4 linked regions of the Pelodiscus sinensis genome follow. The protein of the gene in region 2 interacts with the protein of the main gene of each other region in a pairwise test. Links are inferred from orthologs where the notes say so. Each region holds a gene or a part of one and is shown on either strand. Other genes may lie near its edges. The genes, in order: LARP6, ITSN2, SYNJ2 and WAS.

What was found.
Region 1: the proteins of ITSN2 (region 2) and LARP6 interact in a two-hybrid assay, tested with the Homo sapiens proteins (2 studies listed by BioGRID, with this or other methods). The link is inferred for Pelodiscus sinensis from reciprocal best matches to the Homo sapiens genes ITSN2 and LARP6.
Region 3: the proteins of ITSN2 (region 2) and SYNJ2 interact in a two-hybrid assay, tested with the Homo sapiens proteins (2 studies listed by BioGRID and IntAct). The link is inferred for Pelodiscus sinensis from reciprocal best matches to the Homo sapiens genes ITSN2 and SYNJ2.
Region 4: the proteins of ITSN2 (region 2) and WAS interact in a two-hybrid assay, tested with the Homo sapiens proteins (2 studies listed by BioGRID). The link is inferred for Pelodiscus sinensis from reciprocal best matches to the Homo sapiens genes ITSN2 and WAS.

Annotation. Positions count from the first base shown.
Region 1 is NC_134724.1:45,143,475-45,150,574, forward strand, and holds the start of LARP6 (la-related protein 6), read right to left. Parts: upstream 3,003-7,100; 5' UTR 2,929-3,002; coding exon 2,810-2,928; intron 1-2,809. UniProt on the Homo sapiens protein: Regulates the coordinated translation of type I collagen alpha-1 and alpha-2 mRNAs, CO1A1 and CO1A2. Stabilizes mRNAs through high-affinity binding of a stem-loop structure in their 5' UTR.
Region 2 is NC_134713.1:14,268,404-14,276,012, forward strand, and holds the start of ITSN2 (intersectin-2), read left to right. Parts: upstream 1-4,588; 5' UTR 4,589-4,887; exon of another isoform or gene 4,888-4,947; intron 4,948-7,369; exon of another isoform or gene 7,370-7,390; intron 7,391-7,609.
Region 3 is NC_134713.1:112,226,169-112,233,629, reverse strand, and holds the start of SYNJ2 (synaptojanin-2), read right to left. Parts: upstream 3,013-7,461; 5' UTR 1,513-3,012; coding exon 1,392-1,512; intron 1-1,391. UniProt on the Homo sapiens protein: Inositol 5-phosphatase which may be involved in distinct membrane trafficking and signal transduction pathways. May mediate the inhibitory effect of Rac1 on endocytosis.
Region 4 is NW_027466045.1:201,219-208,281, forward strand, and holds the start of WAS (actin nucleation-promoting factor WAS), read left to right. Parts: upstream 1-4,043; 5' UTR 4,044-4,515; coding exon 4,516-4,626; intron 4,627-5,168; coding exon 5,169-5,309; intron 5,310-5,498; coding exon 5,499-5,585; intron 5,586-6,068; coding exon 6,069-6,165; intron 6,166-6,309; coding exon 6,310-6,351; intron 6,352-6,464; coding exon 6,465-6,515; intron 6,516-6,631; coding exon 6,632-6,803; intron 6,804-7,063. UniProt on the Homo sapiens protein: Effector protein for Rho-type GTPases that regulates actin filament reorganization via its interaction with the Arp2/3 complex. Important for efficient actin polymerization. Possible regulator of lymphocyte and platelet function.

The sequences.
Region 1 (7,100 bases), on a different chromosome or scaffold from region 2:
TTAAAACACTGGTGCAGGTGCACATAAATGCCCCAGTGGGTGCCATGGCGCCCGTGGGCACCACATTGGGGACCCCTGTAATAGATGTATAATGTTTACAACTTGCATTTAGTGTTTCTCTTTCCTTGGAGATCTTTTACCAAGGATTTGATTGTCAAAGCTGCATGGGCAGACTGAAAAACAACTTATTTAGGTTGACTCATCTGGAGATGACTCATGCAGGAAACCAAATGCATCTGTGCACTGTGGGTAAAATGTGTCCTTTGGAGATCAAGCTCGTAGGGTTATCAATATTAAGCTGTTTGGATACATTTCTAACCTTGACAAATCTCTGTCTTAATTCATTTGAAAGTGATCCTGCCTTATATGAGCCAAGCAAAATGAATTGCTCTAAGCTACAGTGCCACTGCTGTAGTCGCTGTAGACAACAGGCATTTGGTATCAATTTAAATGGATTCAGGAGTGGACTCCTCAGTGAGCCACAGTAATTACTGCCTCTCAAATTGCAAAACAATTTCCTCTCTAAAGCACTATTTTAGAATATCATAACATCACAAAACATTCACCTATCAGGCTGAAGATTTCCAGTCTTAGTCTGTGCCCCAACATTTTTAAATTTGAGCAAAAACAGTTAAGCTGTTTCTGTGTACGGGAAGGGAAACTTTCTCATTAGAAAAACATTGGTAACCTTTTTCAATTACCCAGCCACCAAAATAGATTTGAGTATTACAATCTTCATTGTCAGGGGCTCGGAAAAATTCATCCTCCTGTGTACTGTGGTTAAGATGACCTAAGCCCTGTGTGGATGCAGTTAGGTCAGAGGAAGAATATGTTAGTTGGCCTAGATAATACTGCTCACAGAGATGGATTACCTGGATTTACATTGCTAGAAAGACCACTGGTGTCCTTCCAGGAAACCTTTGTGTCTTACTTTCTAGTGCTGCAACTTTGTTTGACCGAAATTAGTGTAAGCAGCTGAATCTGGATGCCAGTTCCAACTTACATACAGATTCAACTTAAGAACAAACCTACAGTCCCTATCTTGTACGTAACCCGGGGACTGCCTGTACACACCTTTTTCTTTACACAGCACAGAGACTTTGCCCCACAACCAAAATGGTATTGTCTATCTTGAAAAAATGCGTAGTCTTATTGTCTTTATACAGGTTGTATAGGCTTGCTCAGATCAGTCCAGCCCATTATGTGCACACAATTATAATGTTATGTCTATTCCTGTAAGGAAAGAATATTCTATAGTGGCATAAAGCACTTTTATATCAGTATAACTGATTCCACACCAGAGATATACTAGTGTAACTAGATCTGTTTAAAAAAACAAACCACCACTCGCATCCTTAACTGAAACAGTTGTACTAATACAAAAGAATGTGTTTTGACCAAGCCTTAGAAAACATGTTCAGGTGTTATTAACTCATTGTTAGGCACCATACAGCCCCAATTCACTCATGTTTAAATGTGTTTGTATGTCTCAGTTAATCCAACAGACTTTGCTTCCATGTGTAATAAAATTTGCACAAACTGTACTTCGTAAAAGCAGGTTGTCACAATAACATTATCAGCAATCCTCAAAAGATCATTACAGCCACTGGGATGTACACATGACAGGAAGAATATTGTGCCTACAAGTAATTCATCTACATAATGCTGCATAATTACAGAACAGACTGTAGTGTCAGGACAAGAAACTAGTAGTAGACCTAAGTCCCTCTAATTTCCAGAGCAGAGAGTTTTGCTAAGAGCATCCGGCACCCCACCTGGCAGGAATGCCCCAGCTCATTACTACAGTTTTAATCTGAAATAAAGCCGTTGGACTGAGCTGTCATGAGGCCTTTGATTCATTTATTTCTAGGGTAACTCCTTGGTGAGCTGACTAGTGCGTCACACTTCAGAAGGAGACTGATAAACCAATTGTGCTAATGAGCAATGATGGAAATAGCTTCCAATCACAGCAACACACTAGTGCCTTGAGGCAGCATTAAGGACTGAATTGGTTCTAATCCTCCTTTCTCCTCCTACCCCAACTCTTGCCATGTAAACATCACCTCCTCAATCAGATTAGAAAAGTCCCCAGCTCAGAAGGAAACACCTAACCAATAATTTTTGTGAAAGGTTCTCTAGGTGAGTCATGGCCAGGGATATTTCATCCTCTTTTCCCCCCAGCCAGGAAACATATTTGCCTTCTCTATTTCCGCACTGCAATACATTGGCAAAGGATAACTCGGGTCGGCGTTTTCCAGACTTCTTCACGATTTCCTCGCACCATCCTGCCTTAGTCACAGACGAGCCGGCTGAGTGTCCAGGGCTCAGGAGGTTGTTAAGCTCTCCAGGAAGCGGAGGACAGGTCGGACCCAACACTCGGCTGCTTTATTGGGGCTTGTGTCTCTGCAGGGCACTGGGCGCTGTCTCCGCGGGTCCCTGCAGCCCGGCTGTCACCCACGAGGCTGGGAGACGCGCATCTGCCCGCAGACCCACCCGCGCCGTTAGCGGCGCCTCGTTTCACTGCGGGACCCGGGCTTCCCTGACGGGCCCCCGCCCGCGGCTTTCCAGCGCCAGCCACCCGCCCTGCTCCCCGCCAGCGGGCCGGGGCCCGGGAGCCTCCCGCCTGCGCGCGTCGCGGGGCGGGGCCGCTGGTGCAACGTCCCGGCCGAATTGCACCAAGTCCCCGCTGGCCCGGCCGCTGTGTCCGAGCCCTGGTTGCATCAGGCGGGCCCCGCCGGCCCGTGGCTGGGCGAACCCCCGCTCGCGCCCCGCCCCCCGGGGAGCAGCCCCGCTTGCCGGGCCGCGGTACCTGGACTTGGCATCCTCGCTACAGCTGCCCCCGCCCGGCGCCCCGCCGCCCTGCTCCGCCTGCAGGGCCACGCGGATCCGCGCCGGGCCGCCGGGCCGCGCCTCGGGCACCTCGGCCATGGGCAGAGCCCGCCGAGCAGCGCTGCCCCCGGGCCGCCTGCAGCCGCCGCCTTCTCCTGCCGCGGCGCCTCCGAGCCCGGCTGCGCCCCGCTCCAGACCCCTCCTCTCCTGGGCGGCCGGGCCCGCCCTCCCCGGGCAGCCCGCGGCGTTTCCACGCAGGGGCGCCGGCGGGGCGAAGGGGGAAGGCCGGGCAGGCACAGACTTCCCAGCCCGGGCACGGGGGAGGGGTCTGCGAGTGGGGCAGAGGCCCCCTCACGCGCCCACGCAAGAGTGGGGAGGCTCTGGACGTGGGGCCCGGGCTCCACCGGCCTAGGGACAGCGTCTCCCCCGTGTTGGCCCCTCTCGGAGCGGTGGCGCTGGCGGCACAGATCGCTTCCCAAGGATTCTGCTGGGTGAGTCTCCATGAGACGGGCTCGCTCCTTTGTCGAGGCAGGAAAGGGGCCTTGCCCTCACTTCAAGCAGAGTCACTGTTTGCCAGACTTCTCCTCCTCGCAGCCTCTATGTAACCCCATGTATGCAGGAGGGGCCCGAGAAATCCCTTCATCCAAGATAGCGAGGTGACCAAACCTCTGGACGTCATCAGCCCCCTGCCGACATTAGGTGTTGTGTCTTACATAACAACTATAATCCCCCTCATTGTCTTGATTTTCACATTTTCCATCTGGCTGCTCTGTGCCAACGTTCAGGGGCTTGCAGGCCAGGGAATGTGTGATAACTCAACCTCAGTTTGGGACAGAGGAGGATAGACAGAGGGCTGACACGCTACTCAAACTCAATCACTGCATGTTCCTGCCAAAATTATTATCAGTCAAATAATTACTGTTGTATTATGTTATTGGTAGGTTTCAGAGGTAACATTTCCATGAGATGACTGGCATCCCTTCACACTTGTATCACATGAATTATTTCCTGCTATTTGAAGAAAGTGTTTCATTAGATCAAAATAGATTGGCTTGACAACCATAAGAGGTAGGAATTACATGTTTTAAAAAATGTAATTTCATTAGAAAATGATGGGGTTATCAAGAAAGTGCAGCTATAAGGGTTCAACATATTCCAGTTGGATTTATGATTGTCTTCTGTCTATTCCTTGATTTGCTAAATATATTACAATATGCTATTTATCTTGGTCCGCAGCTTTGAGACCTAATGTGATTTTGCAACTAATAACTTCATAAATAACTGCACAGCTTCCAAAGTATAACGTGAAAGTCATACAAAGAAGTATGTGGTAACTATGAACAGCCTAAAGGAACTCATGACTGTTGTTTTAAATTGAGTTTGAATTCTATCTTATGTCTCATCTTCTGGAAAATAAAAATGGTTTATTCTATGCCTTCTGAGGTTGTAAAGGTTTCAGAAAGATAACAAATGTGAATAAACAGAAATGACTGCATATGTTTTGTTTTATAGGATAATAGATGGGAATAGTGCTTTACAGAGCTTTACATCAACATGGCCTGAGCTCTGAGCAGCTAACAAAGTACACTTATGCACATGCTTAATTTGGATCGCAGGAGTTGCTCCATTGACTTGAGTGGTCTGTTTCCAAGTTTAAAGTAAATCATGGATGTGCTTGCAGCCAGGATTGGAACCTAGAATGTAGAATTTTACCACAAGAACATTTATTCCTTAATTGGGGAAGATCCTCAAGATCGATCTCTCTCTCATTACTGTTCTCACATGAACCATGTGGTGGAAGCTAGGATTTTGAATCTCTGTTGTGTCTGGTACAGTTCCTCTCTTTCTTAGTATCTTTCTTGGTTCCCTCATTTATACAGTGAAAGTCATACTTCATTTCAGTGCATTTGTCCACTATTTAAAATTCTGAATTTGCAAACATGTTCATTGCCATTAGATGCCATTTATCATTTTTATCACTCTACAAAGAATAAAAACAAGGAGTTTTGTGGCACGTTACAGGCTCATTCATAACTGAAATGGTATTGATCCATGAAAACTTATGCCCAAATAAATCAGTAAGTTTTTAAGGTGCCACAGGATTCCTCGTTTTTACATATAGAGGGCTGACTGTGTTAGCCTCTGAGATTTGTTACTCTGCAAAGAGTATTCTGGTGGTAGATCTGTTAGCATTTAATGTAATAAAAATCACCATCTGCCATGATGGTTTTTGGCTTATTTTTAACATGCTTTGTGTGGAGAAAATGTTAGGTGCTCTTATTTTTGTTTCATTAAAAAAAAACAACACTTCCTTATGTAACTGTGCAACTAACAAATGTGTCTTCAAGTATTGTATCATGTTGGCCCAGGTAAGACAAAGGGTGTGTCTAGACTACATGGCTCCGTCGACAGAGCCATGTAGATTAGGCAGGATGGCAAAGGGAAATGAAGCTGCGATTTAAATAATCTCCTCTTCATTTAAATCAAAATGGCCGCTGTGCTGTGCCGATCAGCTGATTGTCGGCACAGCGTGGCAGTCTAAACGGAGATCTGCCGACCCCAGAACCCTTCGTCGGCAGATCCTGTAAGTCTCGTTTCACAAGGCATAAAGGATCTGCTGACGAAGGGTTCTGGGGTTGGCAGATTCCCATCTAGACTGCCGCGCTGTGCCAACAATCAGCTGATCAACACGGTGTGGTGGCCATTTTGATTTAAATGAAGAGGCGATTATTTAAATCGCAACTTCATTTCCCTTTGCCGTCCTGCCTAATCAACATGGCTCCATTGACAGAGCCATGTAGTCTAGACGTACCCGAAGAGTTCAACTTTGCCCTACTGAGATCAGTGGAGTTTTGACATTGACTTGACTGGGAGTAGGATTAGTCATAAAAACTGGTTCCAGGAAAGACATGGGTATAAGTACTGTGGGTTTGATTTATGTACCACCAAAGTCAGTGTGAGTCTGCCAGCCTTTCAGGGGGACAGGATCAGACCTGATACGAGTGGAAACTATCCAGTTATATAGTTGACCAGTCTGATATACAGAGGACAGAAGTAAAATTACCCGAGGACTCCTATTCTTTGGCCAGAAATGAAAGTAATCATGGCTCAGTATAGGGATGTTAATATTGGTTAATTGAATAGTCGATTACCTCATGAATTCTTATCAGTTACTTGGTTATTCTATAGTCCCTGGGGGTGGGGGTGGCAGCTCTCATCCCCCTCCCAAGGAGCCCCATGCCACTCTGTGCTGCTGCCTCTGATACAGAGGCAGGAACTTGGGGTGGCAGCAGCCCCCATCTGGGGGGGTGGAAGAGGGTGGGAGCTGAGCTCCCAAACCTGGTGCAAGCTGGAACTGAGTTGGGATGCCTGCCCACCTGGATCCTAATATACTTTAAATGCAGGGCCACAGCGGGGATAGGTTCTGGACCCGATGTGAGCCAGAACTGAGCCGGGCTGCCGCCCAGTCTGCTAAAGAATTTACTGGTGGGCAGTCTTCCTTCTAAGATTTTCCGTCCATGAACAGAGTGAGTTTTGTCTTGTGCATCAATATTGAGGTCATGTGCGCTTGTTCAGAGGTATACCACCGTGGCACCCAACTTATAAACCTCTCCCATTTCCCCTTTGCTGCCATGTCTCCCATTTTCCCCTTGTCCCATGGGCTCCTCGGATGCCTGCTGCCGCCCCCCCATGCCTCACCCTCCTCTGCTCTCCTGGTTCCTGCCCTTCTCATTCCCCTCAGCCCCCCCTGGAACTTGCCCTATCTCCCCATCCTCTCTGACCCCTGCACCTGCCCTTCCCACTTGTACCCACCCCTCCTCATTTCTTCTTGTAATACTTCTGTCTACCCACCTTCCCTGCCTTTCCTCTCTGTCTTCTGGTGTCCGTCCCTCCCCTCTACTCCCTTCCCTATGCCTGCCCTTTTGCTTCACCCCCACAATCCTTCTGGCACCTGCAGCTTCCCTTACCCCTTGCACCTTCATGGTGCCTCCCCCTTCCCTCACTGCCCCTGCCCTCCCAACACCTGCCCCCCTTGCCCACTTCCTTTCTGGTGCCTACTCTCTCACCACCCTCTGCGCCCTCACACATGACTTGCTCCAACCCCCGCCTTCCCCATGCCTATCCCTCCTTTCAACCCCTCTTCTGGCACCCACTTCTCCCCTCTCCTCTCCCAGCATTACCCTGTCTCCTCCCCTTTCTCACCCCCACTGATACCTTCCCATTCCTCCCCACCCTGCTCTTCCTGCCCTTTCCCCTCATTGTCTCCTCTT
Region 2 (7,609 bases):
GCATGCGCTGCGCGCCTGGCACCGCGCGCCCAGCACTGCACATGCAGCGTGCGCTCGGGGTGGGGGCCGCATATACACCAGACAGTAAGGGCACAAGAATGGCTCGGGCCAGCCATGGTCACTAGGTGGGCGCACATTAATGCCCCGGCTGGTGCCATGGCGCCCGCAGGCACCGCGTTGGGGACCACTGCCCTATGCTATAAGGTTCCTACTCAGGCTCTGAATCCAGGGGGGAACTAATAAATTCCTGGGATTCCTCTCCTTTCATCCCATCATACCACTAGCTTTTGTAAGACAGCTCCATTGTCAAACAATGGCTGTCAGGGAACATAGAAAAAATATATTGTGTGAAACACATGGAATTCTGGTAACTGCTGTTCAGATAGCCAAAAATATTTTGGCCTTGGAAAGGGTTCAGAAAAGGGCCACTAAAATGATTAGGGGTTTCAAATGGGTCACATATGAGGAGAGGTTAAAACGACTGAGACTTTTCAGTTTAGAAAAGAGGAGACTGAGGGGGGATATGATAGAGGTCTATAAAATCATGAGAGGTGTGGAGAGGGCCGATAAAGAAAAGTTATTTATTAGTTCCCTAAATAGAAGAACTAGAGGACATCAAATGAAATTAATGGGTAGCAGGTTTAAAACTAATAAAAAGGAAGTTCTTCACACAGCGTGTAGTTAACCTGTAGAACTCCTTGCCAGAGGAGGCTGTGAAGGCTAGGACTATAGTAGAGTTTAAAGAGAAGCTAGATAATTTCATGGAGGTTAGGTCCATAAAAGGCTATTAGCCAGGGGATAAAATGGTTTCCTTGGCATCTGTTTGTCAGAGGCTGGAGAGAGATGGCAGGAGACAAATTGCTTGATCATTGTCTTTGGTCCACCCTCTCTGGGGCACCTGGTGCTGGCCACTGTCAGCAGACAGGATACTGGGCTAGAAGGACCTTTGGTCTGACCCAGTACGGCCGTTCTTATGGGACTGGGCCATCTCCTCTCCCCAAAGGTGGTTCTTATTTCACCCTGGATTGATTCAATAATGAGTTATTTCAGAGAGTATTATGAAGACAACAATTCTGATGAGGAATTTCATAAGATCTTCTCAGTAACAGTAATCACACTTCTTTAAAGTTCAGTCATGAAATATGTAGCCACCAACTTTCAGTGCAATTGAAATAAAAATGTAGCCCTAAAATATATTATGGTTTTGTTCAAACTATTTTGCACACCTTTATACATCAGATTTATACTTAATTGTCAGCATGTAGCTGCGAACAGTCATTCTCAATCAGTAGTACATCAGCTCTGCATGCCTCCAAGGGTACATGTACTACTGACTGTTGTAAAACTAGGCAAATATCTCTAGATATCTCTTTAACAGCTGGATATTTGCCTAGTTTTACAACAGGCTACAAAAAGCACTAGCAAAGTCAGTAGAAACTAAAATTTCATACCTATAATGACGTGTTTATACAGCTCTCTATATACTATGTACTGAAATGTACACATAATATTTATATTCCAGTTGGTTTATTTTATTAATTTATTTTATTAATTATATGGAAAGTCATTAACAGTGTACTAACACTTTTGCATTTTTATGCCTAATTTTGTAAGCAAGTAAGGGAGGTGAAACTTGAAGTATGCAAAACAAAACAGACTCCTGAAAGTCTGGGAAGGTTGAGAGCCATTAGTCTAAAATGTTGTGAGGGGTGTACCTAAAGTAGTGCAGTACAGGAATAAGTAAGACCCACCAGGATTGGGCTGTAGTCTTCAGGAATTAATCTTTATTTACATATTAAGATTTATGATGTGTGAGAGATCTCCAGGAATACATCCAACCCAAACTGGCAACCCTAGAAGGCTACTATGTTAGATTCATGGGGGGATGGATAGGCAAAATTCTCTAGTTACTATAAACATAACTGTAACAACAGGTCAAGACTCACTACCATGGCACCTCCTGCAGATCACACTGGGAATTAGTTCTGTCCTCAGCAGGGCACTCCATTCTGGCCAGTGTCTCTCTCCATGCTCTCCCTGCGCTCTGCTTTGGACCCACTTCACTCCCAGGACCATAGGACACTGCCCACCACACTGGTTTCTCAACCCCTTTTTCCCCTAGGTATTATCAGCAGTCCTTAGTCTCACATCTGCCATCATGGCCAACTACAGTCTCACTTTAGTCCCTCAGCTCAGGGGCAAGCCACAGTCCATAAAGGTCACTTCTCGGTGTGACTAGGTGCAGTGTAAGGACCCCAGGCCCACCCACTACTCTAGGTCCCAGATCAGGGACCCTCTGGCAGCAGTCTTGTCCTGCTCTCCTCTCTCCCACTCTACTGCCTTCTGTTCCCTGGGCTACTTCCCCTATGACCCTTGCACCTTCCTGGCCCCTGTATCAAGGCCTGCAGCCTGGCAGATATCAGTCTGGAGCTTTTCTCCTGCTCCCCTAAGCCTGCCTACCACTACTTCCTCTATCTAAGATGTATCCTACGGAACAAGTGCTGCATCCTCCCTAGTCATCTTCCAGCTGCTTACTGTGCTCCTGAGCCCTTATTCCTCAAAAAATGAGGTATACAGACTCTTGAACTAAAGGTTGTTTTTTTTTCCAACAAATGGCCCCGTCTACACAGGGCTTTTTATCACAAAAACCTTTTCCCCAAAAAGGACTGGAAGATATGCAAATGAGAGCGTGATATAGGCAAATAAGTGCTCAATTTGCATTTCCTCTTCCACAAAAATCCTGCAGTGTAAACATAACCTGAGTCTCAGGCATTGGTTCTATATTCAGGGGCATTTTTTGCCTTTATGCCTTGGCTCTGCACCTTAGGGCCTTGTTAGTCACTATGCTGTGGCACCCCACCCAGAGGCACCGTGAGCCTGTATAACCTATGATACTTTATGGGGAGTACCCAGTTACTGCCTCCCCTTAGCATGTTTATGCCTCCTGGAGTCGCTCCCCAACTTCACTGGTCTAGGTACATCCCATTGTCTCTTTACAAGTTAACAACAGATACACTCTAACTCCCTTTCCTCCTCTCCGCCCCGCCCTCCTCCCCATCTTTACGGAGTATTCAGACCCTACTCAACTGGATACTCACAGTATTCACTACTCCCACAGGAGCGGTACAGTTTATCAGTGTATCAGATATACCTTAGATCACAGTTTCATGTAGCACACTGTGATTATATAAGTTGATAGTTTAAAAAAAAAGTTTATTTAACAAAGCATAGAGATTTTAATGAGAGAAAGGAGACATATTGGAAGTAGATGGCTTCATATAAAATAAAATCATAATACACATTCCAGAACATAAACTTATTTATCTAGACGCTTTAAGCTGTTTTACAACAATATTCATCCGAATTCCTCCTAGCATTATAAAGCCAGGCTTGACTGTGATTTTTCCTTTAGGAGACAAGTCATGCTATTGGCTTGCCTCTTTGGTGGAAGATATTATGTATCTCCCCGTATTACCTAATATACCATCCTGATGTTTTGGTTTTAGTCATGAACAGGGCACACCCCTGTGGATTTATTTCCTTATAGATATTCTCTCTTGTAGATTTTGCAATCTTACATCAGGTATCTGGCTTGCTGTGCAAACAGACATCCTTTGCAAGATATACAGTGCACAATACACACGTGACCAGAGACGACAGCCCTCTGCTACTTGGCTGTCTGAAAGAAATATGTCCCAGGTATATCCCTAGTGACATGTCTTACTTAACTCCTTTAAGAACATATTTTTCAGTTTAGATATATAATTCCTGAAATATTACCTTTACATGCAACAGTGACTGTTGGTAGGGATCTCCCATGTCACCATTTGGTGAATTATTAAGGCTACAATTTAGTCACAGTATTCAAAGATTCTGTGACTTTACTGGACCTCCCTGACTTCTGCTCCAGCTGTCAGCAAATGAAGTCAGGCCTAGAGGTGGGGACTGTATGCCCCTACCCTGTTGCAATTAGATGGATGGCTGGAACCAGGATCCTGGAGCCCCTGCCCTGTAGTTTGCTGGGGACTGCAGCCAAACTGGGCTCTCCTCTCCCGCAGCTGCTGCCAGCTCTGGAGTGGGAGCTGTGCAACCCCTGTGGCTGTGCTCCCTCTACCCCTGCTGTGACCCAACCCATGTCTTTTGTTGGGGACTGCATTGTGGGCCGCATGTCCCCCTCGTGCGTCCCATGGCTGTACCCCACCCTTGGCTGCAGCTGTGCCCATGCATCCTTGTCCTGCAGCTGTGCCCAGCTCCAGAGCAGAGGTAGAGCACCCTCTATGGTTGCAACGCACCACAACCTACAGCTTTTTTTGGGAGGCTGCGCTATAGCCTGGGCCGTACAACCCATTCCTGAGGGCTGATGTGACAAAATCTTAGCCTTAATTATGATGCATATTTCCTACCTGAGAGATCCTCGTGAAACTCTACGCCCCCGTCCTGTGCCGTCTGCCAACTGGCACCAAGTTCCTGGGGTACGTACCTTGGCTTGGCACCCAGGGCCCTGTAAGCCCATATCTCAGGCCTTGGTCCCACACCTGCCCATATCTTGAGCCTGGGACATACACCCTGGGGTGCTGTTAGGCCCTTCTATGCCTTGGTCCCACACCCAGCTGCTGTCGGCCTGAATCAGGGCTGGCCCCGAGCCCAGAGGGGCTGCTCTCACTTAGTCCCTGGGCCCCCTCTGGGCTCATCCCTAGGGCCCCGGTCGCACACCCAGGAGCCCCGCTGCTGGCCCGTGTCCGCGGGCAGCTCCTGCTCCCTCCCCCTCCTGCCGCAGCTCGCCTTCTTCCTGCGGGCCAGGCCCCCGCCTCCGCCGCCATGTTGTCGGGCTGAAGCCGCCGCAGGAGGCAGAGGGAGCGAGCGAGCGAGCGCCGAGCAGAGCAACAGGTACCGCGCTGCCCGGCTGCGGCCTGAGCCGTAAGGGGCCGAGGGAGCAGAGCCGGCTGGGTGAGCGGCCTCGGCCCCCGCGGGGGGACGGCGGGGTCTGTGCGGAGGGTGGGAATGGGGCGCTCTTGCTGGGGGGCCGAGGAAGCAAGGTCCGGGGGCACCGGGTCGTGAGTGTGTTGGGGGTCTGGGGAGAGAGGATTTGGGGGGGCTTGCAGGGAGAGAGGATTTGGGGGGGTTCGTTCGGGGGCCACGAAGAGGGAGCCGATAGGGGTTGCTGTGGGTTGGGTTAGGCGGCCCAGTGTGGGAGCAGGTAGGAGAGGTAACATGTCCTTGTTTGGGGGGGGACCCAGGGAGGGAGCAGGTAGGAGAGGTAACATGTCCTTGTTTGGGGGGGGACCCAGGGAGGGAGCAGGTAGGAGAGGTAACATGTCCTTGTTTGGGGGGGGAACCCAGGGAGGGAGCAGGTAGGAGAGGTAACATGTCCTTGTTTGGGGGGGGGACCCAGGGAGGGAACAGGTAGGAGAGGTAACATGTCCTTGTTTGGGGGGGGGGACCCAGGGAGGGAACAGGTAGGAGAGGTAACATGTCCTTGTTTGGGGGGGGGACCCAGGGAGGGAGCAGGTAGGAGAGGTAACATGTCCTTGTTTGGGGGGGGGGACCCAGGGAGGGAGCAGGTAGGAGAGGTAACATGTCCTTGTTTGGGGGGGGGGACCCAGGGAGGGAACAGGTAGGAGAGGTAACATGTCCTTGTTTGGGGGGGGGGGACCCAGGGAGGGAGCAGGTAGGAGAGGTAACATGTCCTTGTTTGGGGGGGGGGACCCAGGGAGGGAACAGGTAGGAGAGGTAACATGTCCTTGTTTGGGGGGGGGGGACCCAGGGAGGGAGCAGGTGGGGCGCCCTTGCTTGGGAGGAACCCAGGAAGGGAGCAGGCGGAGGGGGCGTTGGTTGGGGGGAGCGCTGCTAGGGGGTGCCCTTGATTGGGGGGGAGTGCAGGAAGGGAGCAGGGAAAAGATGAGATATGTCCTTGGGGAGGGAGAGGGAGTCTAAGGGGAAAACATAGGGGGTGCCTCTGATGGCGGGGTGGGGGAGCTCTCAGGGAAGGAGCAGGTAAGGGTGTGCCCTTGATTGAGAGAGTCCTGGGGAGGAACTCTAGGGAGCAGTTTGGGGGCTTTTGTGAGCAGTAACCTGAGGGGAATGGCCTGGGGAACACATGACTGGGATTTGAAGTGTTTAGTGAGGTAATGTTTGTGGCTGCTTGTGAGTGATTTAAAGGGCAGAATGTGACCGTATGAGACCATGATGCAGCCCATCAGTTCCACCTCTAGTCTGTTTCATTTGTCAACTTGGAAACCTTACCTGAGAGATTTTTCCCCCTCTTCTTTGAAGTTTTCTCTGGGGAATGGGGTTGGGATTTAGTCTTCTCCAGTGTAAGCACCTCTTGCATAGTATAGCAGGAGAGAGACAATCTTTGATTTTGTTCATTTTATTTAGCTCACATCACAGTGAGCAGCTGGGTACTGCAAAAAAGTTTCAAACCACAGTAACTGAAAATAGAACCTTAACAACAGAATGGGCAGTGGATGGGGAAATGTTTCAGGTTTGTGGTTTTTATTAGGTTGAACAGACATTTCTTTTGCATTAGAAGTTCTTCCTCTCTAAAAATAATGAAGTACTTATCTCTTTTATGAAAAGTAATTTTTTTTAACAATCAAAGCTCTTGTGAAGATCTTGCATTTTACCCCAAGGCTCCTTTTCAATACAGCTGATAAGTGCTGTGTTCAGTTTCTATAGGTTTTACACTTACATTTTAAAGGCTGCCAGAAATGAGTGAGACAAAATACAGGACTATGTAGCACTTTAAAGACTAACAAGATGGTTTATTAGATGATGAGCTTTCGTGGGCCAGACCCACTTCCTGAGGAAGTGGGTCTGGCCCACGAAAGCTCATCATCTAATAAACCATCTTGTTAGTCTTTAAAGTGCTACATAGTCCTGTATTTTGTTTCAGCTACACCAGACTAACACGGCTACATCTCTGTCACTATCAGAAATGAGTGAGGATTGTTTACAAATTTCCCCCACACATGTTCTCTCTGATTTGGAAGATGGAGGAGTAAATTACTGATGCTAGAACACTTTGATGTGTTTCTATGGGAACTAATTTTCTTCTCCTAAGAGTTGGTTTCATTGTTTCAGTAGTAAAGTGTGGATGGCAAATTTTATAATCTGTGTATATGTGTTATAATCTGTTGAGAAATAAAGATGGTAGCACTGATTAATAGGTTCAGAATTAAGTAAGAATCAAAATACAGAATATCTGTGCCTTGAGAGTTTACAGTCTGTAAGAAGATAAAACATTGGTAATGGATGAATAGATGAATTGTACTGGGAACCTCAGAGAATGGAATAATGAAGATTATTATAATTATTGGCTTACTTCTTAGGCTCCTGTGAAAACCTATAATTAGAAGAAATTAAGAACTGATGAAAACTAAATTCCATGGTTAGTGCCTTAGTAAATGATGTCCTTTTTTCTGTCTGTTTATGACATTGTCATTTTTTCTCAGGAAATTAAATGTTGCTACCATCTAGGGAATCTGGTTGTGCTTTTTAAGCATTAATATAATGTGAATAATAAATTTAAAATATATGATTTGCAGATAGTGTCACACCACTCACAGGTAGCAAAATTTGAAAGTAGATTTTACTTTTAATAATACTT
Region 3 (7,461 bases), about 98 Mb from region 2:
GACTACTAAGATCAGATGAAATGCTAATGAGCAGCTAGGAAAAAGTCTAGTTGTATTTGCAATTACAAAGCAAAAATTAATTTTAAAATACATGTGTACATATGGATATTTTGGCCAAACAAAATTTCCAACGAAGATCTACTGTATCAGTGTAAACAAGAAGACATGGCCACTATAATTATGAAAAGACGCTGGCGATGGATAGGTCATGTGTTACGAAGAGAAGACGGATCTATTACGAAAATTGCACTCCACTGGAAACCAGATGGGAAGAGAAAGAGAGGAAGGCCAAAAACAACCTGGCACCGAACGGTAGAACAAGAATTAAAAGACCATCATCATACTTGGGGAACAATAGGCGCTTTGGCCTGCGACCGACAGAAGTGGAAGGACTTCGTTGCTGCCCTATGCGCCATTGGCGTAACGGGCAGTAAGTAAGTAAGTACATATGTACATAAAATGTATAATTATTAAAAATTTGTATTACAGTAGCATCTAAAGGCCACAACCAGGCTGGGCCCCACTGTGGTAGGCACAGGACAAACATAATAAATGGCAATTCCTGCCCCCAAAGCGTTTACAAATTCTATACAAACTTTGTGCCATACCCTTTGGCACCAAACCTGCAAATGTTTATGCAGTTGCTTAATTTTAGTACCCAGGCAGTCAGATTGACATGGCTTCACGGATTCATGGATAGTAATAAAATTAAGCACAAGCTTATGCTTGTAACTCTGGACTTTTAGTAATGTTCCTCCTTTTCACAAATTGTATGGTCCTCAATCTGTGTTGTAGATTATGGCTCCCTCTTTGTTTCTCCAACCACAATCTTTGAGAGATTTGTTTTAAATACTAATCATTTCCCCCAGTTATTCTTCGTGAGTGAAAGCTGCTACTTCTTCAGAAGAGGCGAGTGGATAGTGATCGACTACAAACTCCATGCTGATCAGAGTAAAGGGCTTACCTATCTTTTAATCTTTGGGCCCTTCTCTACACTAGTGTCCTCACCGTTGGCACTACTAATAAATTGTACCTACAGTAGCAAAAGAAAAAAAAAGTCTAGTGTTGTCCCGGCCCTGTTGTCCCACCCTGGGGTGGAAACTACTGACAGGTGTAACTGTTCGAGCTAAGCTTAGCCTTCTGCAGAGCAGCCCACACCTCCACACGTGTAAGGAGAACCTGGGCAGGGCTGTTGTGAATGGGTTCCGCGCGGGACGTGCTGAGCGCTGCAGAAAGCCTGCGCCGTATTTGCGCGCCTAACTGAGCGCTTTGAAAATCTGGCCCTCGACGCGCAGCCCTTAGCCAGGGGTCCGTCCCCGCGTGGACACCCCCAGCCTGACACGCCCACCCCGCGCTCCCAGGTGCGCGCCCTGCCCGCCAGAGGCACTTACTGAGGGTGGCCACGGTGCCGGCCTCCAGCAGCAGGCAGTCGTGGCGGGCCCGCGCTTCCAGCAGGGCGCTCGGAGCCGGCTCCTGCTTCCAGAGCAGCCGCAGCCCTTTGCTCAGAGCCATGGGGCCGCTTGGCCATAGGGAGGCAGGCGCAGGAGGTGCCGGGAGGGGGGCGCTCCCGCTCCCCGCCACAAACCCAGGCACCAAGCGCGGGGGGAGCAGAGAAAGCGTCGCAGCCTCCCCCCTTCCTGCCCGCGGCGCTCCAGGAGAGAGACGGAGCCCTGCAGCCAGCGCCGCCCCCACACGACGGCCCAAGCCCGGGAGCCGGCCGGGGAGCGCCCCAGACGGGTAGCGAGCTTCCAGCCCAGGAAAAGTGGCCAGCAACTCGGCGGGCGACCAAAAGGCGCAGCACCGCCTCCGGGCGGAGACCTCGGGCTGCCCCGGCTCCTCGCAGTCTTCCCCAGGCAAAGGGTGACTTGGCTGGGCTGCCGGAGGCTCCGCTCCGCTGGAAAGTCCTTGGCTACTCGCGGCGCCGGTCCCGTGTAAACTTGCAGGAGTTGACTTTGTTCCTTCCTGCTCCGGCGGCGGCGGCTCCTCCTCCCGCTCCGGGACAGGTAAAAGCCATTGTCCGCCTGTCTCCACCCCTGCCCGCTCTGCGGGAGGGAGGAGCTGGAATGTCACAGCCCCCGGGAGGAGGCGGCAGAGGCCGTGCTACTCCCAGGCTAACAAAACAGGGTGAGGGGAGCCGTCCACGGCCAACACAGGAGCTGGGGCCGCAGACGCGCCCCGCCCCGCCTGACTTGGAGAAATGAAGTGGTAGTTCTAGGCGGATCTGAGCTAACGAGGCCACTCAGGTCCCAAGCCCCATTCCAGACACTCAACTTTGACACAGATCAGATCTGGATCCCAAGAAGCGAAACTTTTCTCCACGCTGCACCGCATGATGGATGCGCCCCTAGAGGACAGCAACTAATGCTACACTCTTGTCTAGCGTCTTTCAAATGGGGCGCTCAAAAAGAGTTATACAAACATGAACTAAGAGCAAAGAGGGCACAAAGCAATTTACAAAAGACAAGCTAAATAGTGACTAAAATGCTAACATGAAACTGTGCCAAGCTATCAAATAGGGAACTCGTGTTGGTATAAACTGAGAACATCTATCCTAGCTAACTCTGTATAAATTAAACACATCTTTGGCACTGAGAACGTGAGATAATACTCCCTGCTCTGGTGGAAGTCAAGCTCCTGCCTGCACGAGTTTCTCAAAAGAGTCAAGGTAGATGATGGAAAATATTTTTTATTTTAGTTGGTCTACCCACCTTGTGTGTCTAATATTTTGGGCCCAGCAGGGCTACAAGATTGCAGTTTATTTTCCCATGCAGTTTTGTTATATTGCTTCTCATTTTCTGTTCTAAACAGTCGTGTAGCCTTATTAAACTACTCCCTCACACCTCCCCAGAGGTGGCTAAAGAGTTGAGTAGTAGGATGACACATTTACATACATAGATACTGGAATTCTTTGCACTCTGAAAGGAAATACCACACCTGACCCTCTGTTTGTAAAATGCTTTGGGCTGAAAGATGTTGTATGCAGGTATATTATTTTATAATTCTCTGGTTTCCTCTAACAACTCCCAGAACAGATCTTGGCAAAAAAAAAATCAGGTTAAACTTTTTTTTGGAGAAAAATACGGATTCTGACAATGATCTGTTTGTCAAAAACAACACATTTGCAAATGCCAAATTGTTCTTAGAAGACACATTAAAAAAATCAAATAATGATATTTTTGTTTGAAAACAATTGTTTGAAAAGTTTTTGGTTTTTATTAAATTTTGTCTTAAAATTGTTGAAACTTATAGCTTTATTCAACCCTGATTTTTTTTTTTTACTTTTCAGTTTCTCCAAAATTGATTGTCTTATCCAAAATGACTTTTTTAAAACTGCCAAATATGAAAAAAATCTATTATTTGCCTAGCTTTGTCCAGGAACCCACTTATCTTTCTAGTAGTACAGGGTTCCTCCCACATTTCCTTGCTGAGTCATTAAGAATGCTGCCATATTTTCCCAGACTACAATAATACAAACATATTAAGATAGTTGTGCATGTATATGCAAATAGGCAACACACAGCTTTGATGGCTGTGTGGCACAACCTAGTATGTTACTTAAACTCAGTTTAGCTGATCACAGAACAATTGTGGCTGTGGAAACCATTATTGTGGATGAACCACTGTTTAGGTATTCTAGGAAACAGTGAAATACAAAATGCTGCCTATTGTTTGCATTTTATTAAAAATGCTGGAGTGTATTAGTGAAGGCTCCACTGTGCAAGTCCCTGAATGGACTCACAGTATAAACATAGTCTGTTGCAGTTCAAAGCAAACGAAATCTGGTATAGTACTCTAAGGTCATGTCTACATTACCGCTTACGCCAGCAAAACTTAAGTTGCTTAGGGGTGCGAGAGGAAATCCACACCTTTGAGTGACCGAAATGTCACTGGCAAAAGTGGTAGTGTGCACAATGCTGCGTTGTTGGAAGGAGAGCTGTCCCAGAGACAAATCTACCACCACTTGTTGAGATAGTTTTATTAGACAGATGGGAGAGTTTTCTCTTGTTGGCATAGAATGACTACATGACTGTTCTTATGGTGGTGCAGCTGCATTAGTACAACTATGCCAGTGCAAGGTCTGTAGTGTACACATGGCTGAACCTGAGTGATGTAGTTATACCACTATAGATCTTTAGTGTAGACTAGACCTTAGTAACAATAGCTAAAAGAAAAAAAAAGACTTTTATGTTTACGGGATCACTTCTGAGAGAGAAAATAATGGGATCTGGTGGGAACAGTACATTTGTGTTAAATTTGGCATTGTCTGGATTAGGATTTTTGGGACACTATGTAGTACTAGGTTAGCTTTCACACTAAGAGTGCATCTACACAGCACCCTAAATGTGAAATAAGATATGCAATTTGTGCTATACAAATTGTATTTCTTATTTTGAATCTATTTTGAAATAGACTATTTTACATGTGGCAGATCTACACAGTGCCAGTTTTTGAAATAACGTGCTACTTCGAGCCATTCCTTATCCTTTGTGCAACGAGGTTTACCAGGATGGTGAAATAGTGCGCCCGTTATTTCAAAATAAAAGGCAGCTTGTGGAGATGCAGGGTATCCCAAAATAGCCGTGCTGTGTAGACGTAGCCTTAAGTGAATGAGTGTGAAAGCTAACCTAGAGGAAATAACTAAAATTAAATGTGTGTCTGTGGGGGGGAAAGGGCATATGTTAGTGACTAGGATGAGAGGATATACAAGTGCAGTTCAAAGTTTGTTTTCACTGGATATAAGAAACTTATGGTTGTGCCCACAAAAGCTCATGATACCATCTACATTTTTTGTTACTCTCTAAGGTGCTGTAAGACTGGTTTTTTTTTAAGTTATTTCATATCCTAAACAGAACAAGAACATTTTTCTTGCTATAGGTTTCTTGTACAGAGACAGGCAGGCCAACAACCTATTTCCATCTTCAGCATCTTTTCCCATGATTTTTTCCCCTAGAAGAAAAAGGACCTAGTTATTAAATGGTGGCAATCTTAGTAGTGGGATCAGATGGAAGGTTGACTTATAGGTAATATTCTCTTTTGTTAATTTGGTGCGGTCTCATTCATTTATACATAAGTGCATCTGTTGCCTTCAAGGAATGATTGCTACAGCAGACTGTTCTCATGATAAACTCTTTCTGTACATCAGCAGGAGCATTACCGTCAATTGGAGGACAATGACATGTCAAAGATTCAACAGTATTTGTGCTTGTAATTCATTTGTACCTGTAACTTGCAGTAGAAAACATTATGACATGAGCACACCAGTCAGGATAATTAATAGAGCTCAGCGTCTGACTTGTTAAAGAAAATATTTGCCTAGACATAGGACTGGGGTATGAACAATAAACTCTTTTTTAAGCACAACAAATCAGGTTCAGAGAACAAGATATAAAAGCAAAGGCAGGTGAAGATGGAACATTTAGCAGTGCAATATAGTTGAGCGCTGACTGTAAATCTATTTTATGGGAGTTTTATTTCATGCTTTGGCAAGGCATGAGCTTCTTTAAGGGAGCTCACATTCTGAGCAGTTCTCCATTAACTCATTCTCTCACTTGATATTCGTGAGTGGGTCGGCATTTTTTTAATTGACGGATATTACTTTTTCAAATAGGCTTTTTGTTCAAAGGTGACTACGCTGAACTCTTAAAATGTCAAGAAAGCAACTAACATAAGCTGCTTAATAGAGAAAAGTACTGAAGAAAGCTGGAGAATGTGTTAAAATTAGGGATCCAGTGTCTGGGTATATTGGAACTGTTTGCAAAGGCTTTTTTATTTTATAGGCTACAAAATCAGGATATCTGAATAGTACTCACCTTCTTTCTGTAGTGCATGTAAATCCATTTCACTTGTAAATGGTAGTTCTATGGTATGAAGTTTACCTTCTAGTTGACATTCAGACACCACTGGTCTTTGACTGTGGCCCAGTTCACATATGGGTGTTGAATACATGACAGAGTCCCATATTCAAGGAAAATGTTCCCCATACTGGTGTTGCACCTTGGTTCGGTGATGTGACGGGAGCCTCAAGGGTTAAAGCTGACTACCCAGTGAAAACTACTGGATGATGGTGAAACAAATGATTTTTATTAAGTGGTCAAAACCAATAATTACCAAATAGGTGTTTAAACTAGCGATTGCTCAATACTTTTACTGCGTAGAAAAGCTTGGGCACAATTATACCCAACTGATTACAATTCTTTGATTACAATTCACTCATATCAAATCACTATCCTTAATTTGCCTAAGACAACGCAGCATACAAAAAACAAAGCCAAAGTAATGATAATAAAAGAACCATCCAAAGCCAGCCCCTCTATGGTTATTTTAGGGCAGCTGGTGGAGTTAGTCATAAATCTACTTTTACAACTTAACAACTCCGGGGCTTCTATTTCTAACACTTATACTTAACCTAAATACAACACTACTACACAACACAAAATTATACAATTTACACAGTGTGGTTAACAGAACTTAGATACGCTTTACAGAATTACACAGTGAAATTAACACAATCTAACTATTAATTAAACCAATAACTAATACATTTAAGCAGTACTTACAAATCCAGAATCAATAACAACAGAAAGACACCCTAGAACTCGGAGCATGCTCAGGACTCGTGCCCCCCTATATTTGACTTGAAGGGTGGGGAGGCAGCCTCAGGGTGATCAATCCTTTAGCCGGGCAAAAAAAAGACACGTGCCCTCAATACATGGAACCTCCGTCGAACAAAGGGATTGAGGGTCTTTTATACAAAAATTCGGTGTCTGGTGCCATGCTAGGGTCTGCATTTGGCAGGGCCTGATAGGCTAGTGATGAGGTAGTATGACAATACTGCCCTATAGGAATTTTCGTGATGTATGAGTGAACCCCTCGTGGACAGGACCAGATGGGGCATAGTTAGTGTAAGACAATTGTGTTTTATTACCCTATGTTTACTTTTTCCCCTTGCCCCTAAGACTGGTCAAGCTACGGTCAAATGAGGCTTATCTGTAAATTCAGCTAGGCGTTATCTAGTTATGCTTTCCTCCCTATTTTCTTGGTGCCTTTGAGTTCCAGGATGCCTATAAGGTCAAATTCCATTCACAAAAACTGCATTGTGCTGCCCATGCTCCTCTGAGTATCTGGGTTTTGTGTGAGGGGCCTTGTGTGGCAGGATGGGCTATACGCAAAGGCCGTGGACAGAAAAAGCCTGCTTTACAACAACTGGAAATGCTTTCCTTCCCTCATTCCATAGTGTTAATTCTCATAAATACCACACCATCCCTGCTCCTCAATGCCTCAGTTCATCCTCCATTCTTAGTGTTCTTCTTTTCTTTGACCTTCCCTTATTGATAGCTCCCCTCCTTCCTACTCAGTAGGGTTGGCCTTGGGAAAATGGTACCCTGGGTAAATTTTATTTGCTGCCCTTTATGTACTGCTTTCCAAGCAGCAGGGACTGGTGTTGCAGGTGTCATGCTGCCG
Region 4 (7,063 bases), on a different chromosome or scaffold from region 2:
AAATCCCCCCCCGGGGGGGGCAGCCCCTCAGAGCCTCCTGGCTACACGACACCCCTCTCCTGTCCCCACCCCGAATTTAACCCCAACCCCAGTGTCTGTGTCCGGGCCATGGTGGATTTGCTCCCCCTCCCAACTGGACCAGGGTCCTTCTCTGGTTGCGGCCCACGGAGCTGGGAGCCGCATCCCATCCAGGCTGGGACACAGCCGCTTTATGGGGTGGCCGGGGGGACCCCCAAAGAAACAGCACCCCTCTTGCCCTGGGATCATAGAATCATAGAATAATAGGACTGGAAGGGACCTCGAGAGGTCATCGAGTCCAGCCCCCCGCCCTCAAGGCAGGACCAAGCTCCGTCTACACCATCCCTGACAGATGTCTATCTAACCTGTTCTTAAATATCTCCAGAGAGGGAGATTCCACCACCTCCCTTGGCAATTTATTCCAATATTTGACCACCCTGACAGTTAGGAATTTTTTCCTAATGTCCAATCTAAACCTCCCCTGCTGCACTTTAAGCCCATTACTCCTTGTCCTGTCCTCAGAAACCAAGAGGAACAAATTTTCTCCTTCCTCCTTGTGACACCCTTTTAGATATTTGAAAACCGCTCTCATGTCCCCCCTTAATCTTCTTTTTTCCAAACTAAACAAGCCCAGTTCATGAAGCCTGGCTTCATAGGTCATGTTCTCTAGGCCTTTAATCATTCTTGTTGCTCTTCTCTGTACCCTTTCCAATTTCTCCACATCTTTCTTGAAATGTGGCGCCCAGAACTGGACACAGTACTCCAGCTGAGGCCTAACTAGTGCAGAGTAGAGCGGCAGAATGACTTCACGAGTTTTGCTTACAACACACCTGTTGATACAACCTAGAATCATATTTGCTTTTTTTGCAACAGCATCACACTGTTGACTCATATTCAACTTGTGGTCCACTATGACCCCTAGATCCCTTTCCGCCATGCTCCTTCCTAGACAGTCGCTTCCCATCTTGTATGTATGGAACTGATTGTTCCTTCCTAAGTGGAGCACTTTGCATTTCTCTTTATTAAACCTCATTCTGTTTACCTCTGACCATTTCTCTAACTTGCTAAGGTCATTTTGAATTATGTCCCTATCCTCCAAAGAAGTCGCAACCCCACCCAGTTTGGTATCATCTGCAAACTTAATAAGCGTACTCTCTATCCCAATATCTACATCATTGATGAAGATATTGAACAGTACGGGTCCCAAAACAGACCCTTGAGGAACTCCACTTGTTATCCCTTTCCAGCAGGATTTAGAACCGTTAACAACAACTCTCTGACTACGGTTATCCAGCCAATTATGCACCCACCTTATCGTGGCCCTATCTAAGTTATATTTGCCTAGTTTATCAATAAGAATATCATGCGAGACCGTATCAAATGCCTTACTAAAGTCTAGGTATATGACATCCACCGCTTCTCCCTTATCCACAAGGCTCGTTATCTTATCAAAGAAAGCTATCAGATTAGTTTGGCATGACTTGTTCTTCACAAACCCATGCTGGCTATTCCCTATCACTTTATTACCTTCCAAGTGTTTGCATATGATTTCCTTAATTACCTGCTCCATTATCTTCCCTGGGACAGACGTTAAACTGACCGGTCTGTAGTTTCCTGGGTTGTTCTTATTCCTCTTTTTATAGATGGGTACAATATTTGCCCTTTTCCAGTCTTCTGGAATCTCCCCTGTCTGCCATGATTTTTCAAAGATCATAGCTAAAGGCTCAGATACCTCCTCTATCAGCTCCTTGAGTATCCTGGGATGCATTTCATCAGGACCTGGTGACTTGCTGACATCTAACTTTCCTAAGTGATTTTTAACTTGTTCTTTGTGTATCCTATCTTCTAAACTTACCCTCTCTCTGCTTGTATTCACTACGTTAGGCACACCTCCAGACTTCTCGGTGAAGACCGAAACAAAGAAGTCATTGAGCATCTCCGCCATTTCCAAGTTCCCTGTTACTGCTTCTCCCTCCTCACTAAGCAGTGGGCCTACCCTGGTCTTCCTCTTGCTTTTAATGTATTTATAAAAGGTCTTCTTGTTTCCCTTTATGCCTGTAGCTAGTTTGATCTCATTTTGTGCCTTTGCCTTTCTAATCTTGCCCCTGCATTCCCGTGTTGCTTTCCTATATTCATCCTTTGTTAGTTGTCCTAGTTTCCATTTTTTCTAGGACTCCTTTTTTATTTTGAGATCGTGCAAGATCTCCTTGTTAAGCCAAGCTGGTCTTTTGCCATATTTTCTATCTTTCCTACACAGCGGAATTGTTTGCTTTTGGGCCCTTAACAACGTCCCTTTGAAATACTTCCAACTCTCCTCAGTTGTTTTTCCCTTCAGTCTTGCTTCCCATGGGACCTTACCTACAAGTTCTCTGAGCTTATCAAAATCTGCCTTCCTGAAATCCATTTCCTCAATTGTGCTGGTCTCCCTTCTACCTTTCCTTAAGATCATGAACTCTATTATTTCGTGATCATGGTTGCGTCCGGGTACACGCAGCACGAGGTGCACTTCTTTTGGCAGGAAGGGGCTCTGTATAGCATCAGGACCCCGGGGTCTCGCGCCGGCTCTGGGAGGGGAGTGGGGTCTAGTGGTTAGGGCTGGGAGCCAGGAAGCCCCAGTGACGAAGTTCCATCGCTCCCCTATTCTCCTCCTCCTTGTGCTGTGGGCGTATCTTGCTTGGCCTCCCCCAAAGGAGCGACATCGGCCCGACTTTGGGGCCTTCATTTTGGAAGGAAGCGTTTGAGCAAGAAATACGCTTCTTTTCCCCGGCTTTTTGTCCTTCCCCTAATCCCTCCCCCCGCCCCAAATCCAAACCCCTCAAACCAGAAAATTCTCCTTTCAAACAAATCCCCAGCCCATGTTTTGATTTCTCCAGAAAAAGTGGGGGCTTCCCTCCCCGACATATTACAGCCCTTCGATTCCAGGTCTGGCCCAGAGACGAAGAAAACCATCATGTTTTATGAGCTGGGTGGGGGAACACCCCCCTCACCCCAGATTTCAGCAGCACAATCCAACTCCGAGCGACAAAGATACCTTTTATGGGGTCGCCATTGGCGGGGGGGGAGAGACGTTTCGAGTTTCCCCGGGGCTCATGTCCTTCCTCCGGGACTCGATCTGATCAAAGATACGACCCCCTTCTCCCCCATCTTGGCTCTGTGTTTGTTGGACGTTGCTGCCCCTCCCCGCAAAATGCCCGTTCCCTGACGAGAAAGCAACCAAAAAAACCCATTCACAAAGCGGGATTTTTGCCCAGATCTGAGGCCTGAAAACACCTTTTTAAAATGTTGGGGCCACTTTCCCAAGGGTCAGGTTTCCTTTTGGGGGCCTGGCGTTGCCTGTGGCTCGTATTGCATGTTGCAGGGGAGGAGGGGCTGCAGGTGGAAAGGTCCCGAGTTGGTATCTTGGGCTTGGTGAATTCAGAACCTTCTTAGCAGAACTCCGTGTGGGTACAAAACTGGCACCTGCAAAAGTCCCGCGGCTCTCCACAGCCACCGGTGTGCTCGCTCCAAAATTCGTGTCTGCCTCCATGCGCCATGGATTTCTGCCGGCACAGCCACTGCTACTGGCAGGTTCGCAGGGCTCTACTCCTTAGACTGGGTGCCCGGCTGGGCTGATCGCTCTGGGGCCATCTCTCCCCCGACGAAAATCTCCGTCTCCCCGGCACCTTGGCCTGCCGATCCTGCCTGGGTTCACGCAATTCCAGAGGCTCCAGATTTCGGGAGGGGAGTGATAAAAGAGCCCCTGGCAGTGGCCAGCTCTTTCTATTGGACACTCAGCCTGCTCCTGCTCCCCCCCAGCACAAAGCGCCGTGGGGGGCGGGATGGGGGGAAAGAAACGCAATGTGAACGTGACGCAGGGCGCCGGTGGCTTCTGTACGGTAGTTCTGGGTTTCAATAAACAGCAACCGGACTTTCCCCTTCCTGAGTGTTTTGTGGGGGGCGGGGGGAGAGACATTCTGGGAGGGGGCAGGTGGGGGGGAAGTGGGGGGTTATGGAGGGAGGAGGGTGGGCAGATGGAAAAGGGATTGGGGGGATTGTAGGGCAGATACAAAGGTGGGGGGAAGCCCTAACTACGTTACCCCCCATAGAGAGGCACCTGGAACCAAGCCCCTCCTCACACCTGGCCTGGCTTGGGGGGATCCCCGCCACCTACAAGACGCGTTGGGCTCAGAAATTCCCCCCCGCCCCAGCCGCCCCCAAAACGGCTGCAGAGGACCCTGCCCCCAGCAGAAACAACACTGCCTGAGTCTGCCAGGAGCCTGCGCTCCTTGCTCGGCGGGGCCCCCGCCATCTCCCCCCCGCTCGGCGGGGGCCCCTTGCTCCCACCCCCCTACCCTGTTCCCCCAGCCCCGGCAGGGACTGTTCGCAGAGCCCAACTTCCCCTGGCCGGTGGTTTCTGTTGCGCTTCCTGTTGGATGTGACGCGGAAGTTGGCCGGGTCGCGAGCGGGGAGGGGAGAGACCCCAAGAGCCTGCTGTTGGGGCGGGTGCCAGGAGCCAGCATGAGCCGAGGGGCCCGGGCCGGGGCCCGAGCGCAAGAGAACGTCCCCTCCTGTCTCCTCCTGGACCATGAAAACCAGCAGGTGTTTGAGCTCCTGGGCCGGAAATGCACGGTGAGGGCCCATGGAGTGAGGGGCACCGGCAGGGCTGGGGGGCGGGAGTGAGGGGCACCGGCAGGGCTAGGGGGCGGGAGTGAGGGGCACCGGCAGGGCTAGGGGGGCAGGGGTTGGGGGGTGGGAGTGAGGGGCTCTGGCAGGGCTGGGCGGTGTAAGTCTGGAGTAAGGGGAACCCCAGATCTTGGGTAGGGGAAGCCCAGGGCTGTCAGAGGCTGCTCATTGGGAGCAAGGGGCACCGGCAGGGCTGGGGGGGCTGGAGTGAGGGGCACCGGTAGGGCTGGGGGGCTGGGCTGGGCTGGCAGAGGAGTGATGGGCCTTGCTTCCTGGCCCCCTTTCGGCCATGCAAATGGCGCTTGTGGGGCTGGTGAGAGGCCCATTGGGGTCCCGCCGGACGCCTGAGGCCAACACCGGAGACGGGGACAGGAACTGTCAGCCTGGGGAGCCGTAGTCAGGCAGGGTGCAGCTGTTCCCAGCCACCCCACCCCAGAGCTGGCTGCATCAGCCGCCATCTCTCTGTAACTCGGATGTCTCTGGCCCAGACCCTGGCCACGTCCGTGGCCCAGCTGTACCTGGCCCTGCCCCCCAACAGCCAGGCCTGGGGCAAGCAGGGCTGCGGGGTCCTCTGCCTGGTCAAAGACAACCCCCGGCGCTCCTACTTCATCCGCCTCTTCAGTCTCAAGGTGAGTCCCAGCCCTGAGAACCCGGGAGTCCTGGTTCCTCTGCGCTAACCACTAGCCCCCGTTCCCCTCCCAGAGCTGGGCAGAGAACCCGGGTGTCTGGGCTTCCCTGCGCCAAGCACTGGCCCCGCTCCCCTGCCGGAGGCGGGGCGAGACCCCCAGGGCGTGTGCCAGGGTTCCCTTCTCTTGCAGGAGGGCAGGCTGACGTGGGAGCAGGAGCTAAGCAGCCTGGAGGCCTATTCAGCTGTGTCTGCCTATTTCCACACCTTCCCCGGGGACGTGAGTATCTGCCCCAGGAGGGCGGGGCGCGAGGGCGGGGCTTCCAAACCGAGCCCCGCCCCCGGGACACAATTTCAGAGACGGGATAAAAGGAGAAAACTGAGGGTAACAAATAATAGGTAGGGCTAGGGACCTCTCCTGGCTCTGGGGGGGAGTGGGGCCTAGGGGTTAGAGCAGGGGGGAGGGAAGCCAGGATGCCAGTGTTCTCCCCTGGCTCTGGGAGGGAAGTGGGGCCTAGTGGTTAGCGCGGGGGGGGCGGGAGCCAGACGCCTGGGTTCTCCCCTGGCTCTGGGAGGGAAGTGGGGCCTAGCAGTTAGAGCAGGGGGAAAGGGGCTGGACGCCTGGGTTCTCCCCTGGCTCTGGGAGGGGAGTGGGGCCTAGTGGTTAGCGCAGGGGGGGCGGGAGCCAGACGCCTGGGTTCTCCCCTGGCTCTGGGAGGGGCGTGGAGCCCCCCCGGACTGGCGAGGTGCCGATTGCTCCCAGGAATGCCAGGCTGGGCTGAACTTTGCGGACGAGGCCGAGGCTCGCGCCTTCCACATGGTGGTGGAGGAGAAGCTCCAGAAGCGCCAGCACAGGATGGGTGAGTGGCAGGGCAGGCGCTGGCCCCCCTGGAGGGGCAGGGCCCCGGGCCCCTTCCCTGGCCCCCCTGGAGGGGCAGGGCCCCGGGCCCCTTCCCTGGCCCCCCTGGGCCAGTATCCTAACGCGCTTTCTGCTCTTTCCTCAGAGAAGCGGCAGCTGCCCCCACCCCCCCCTCCAGTCCCTGAAGGTGAGTCCCCCGTGATCCCGCCGCCCTGCGCAATGGGGCGGGGCTGAGCCCCCCAAGCTCTCCCGTGGGGGAGGGGCTGGCAGGTCTAACACGGCTCTTTCTGCCTCCTCCAGAGCGCAGGACGACGCTGCCCCGATCCCCGATTGCCGGGGGGGACATGAACGGTAAGCGCTCGGAGGAGGGGGTCTGCAAAGGGCTACCCGAGCCCCCCGCCCGCTCCCTGTCCTCCAGGGGAGAGCCCCGGCCCTGCTCCCCACAGCCCCCCCTTTCTTTCCCACAGGTCCCAGCAAACAGCCGAGTTCCCCCTCCTTGAACCTCATTACCATGGACATCCAGAACCCGGACATCACCTCGTCCCGGTACCGGGGGCTGCCGGTGCCCCCCGCTGCCGAGAAGAAGAAAGGGAAGAAGAAGATCTCCAAGGCTGACATCGGCGCCCCAAGCGGCTTCAAGTGAGAGCAGGGGGACGGGGCACTGGGCTGGCCTGAGGGGGCGCCGGCTCCCGCCCGGCCCAGGACAAGGGCTGGCTGGCTTGTGGGGCGGGGAATGGGACAGGGGCCTGTCCCCTCCTGGGGGTGCCAGCTCCCACCCAGCCCAGGACAAGGGCTGGCTGGCTTGGGGGGCGGGGAATGAGACAGGGGCCTGTCCCCTCCGGGGGGTGCCGGCTCCCACCCGGCCCAGGACAAGGGCTGGCTGGCTTGGGGGGCGGGGA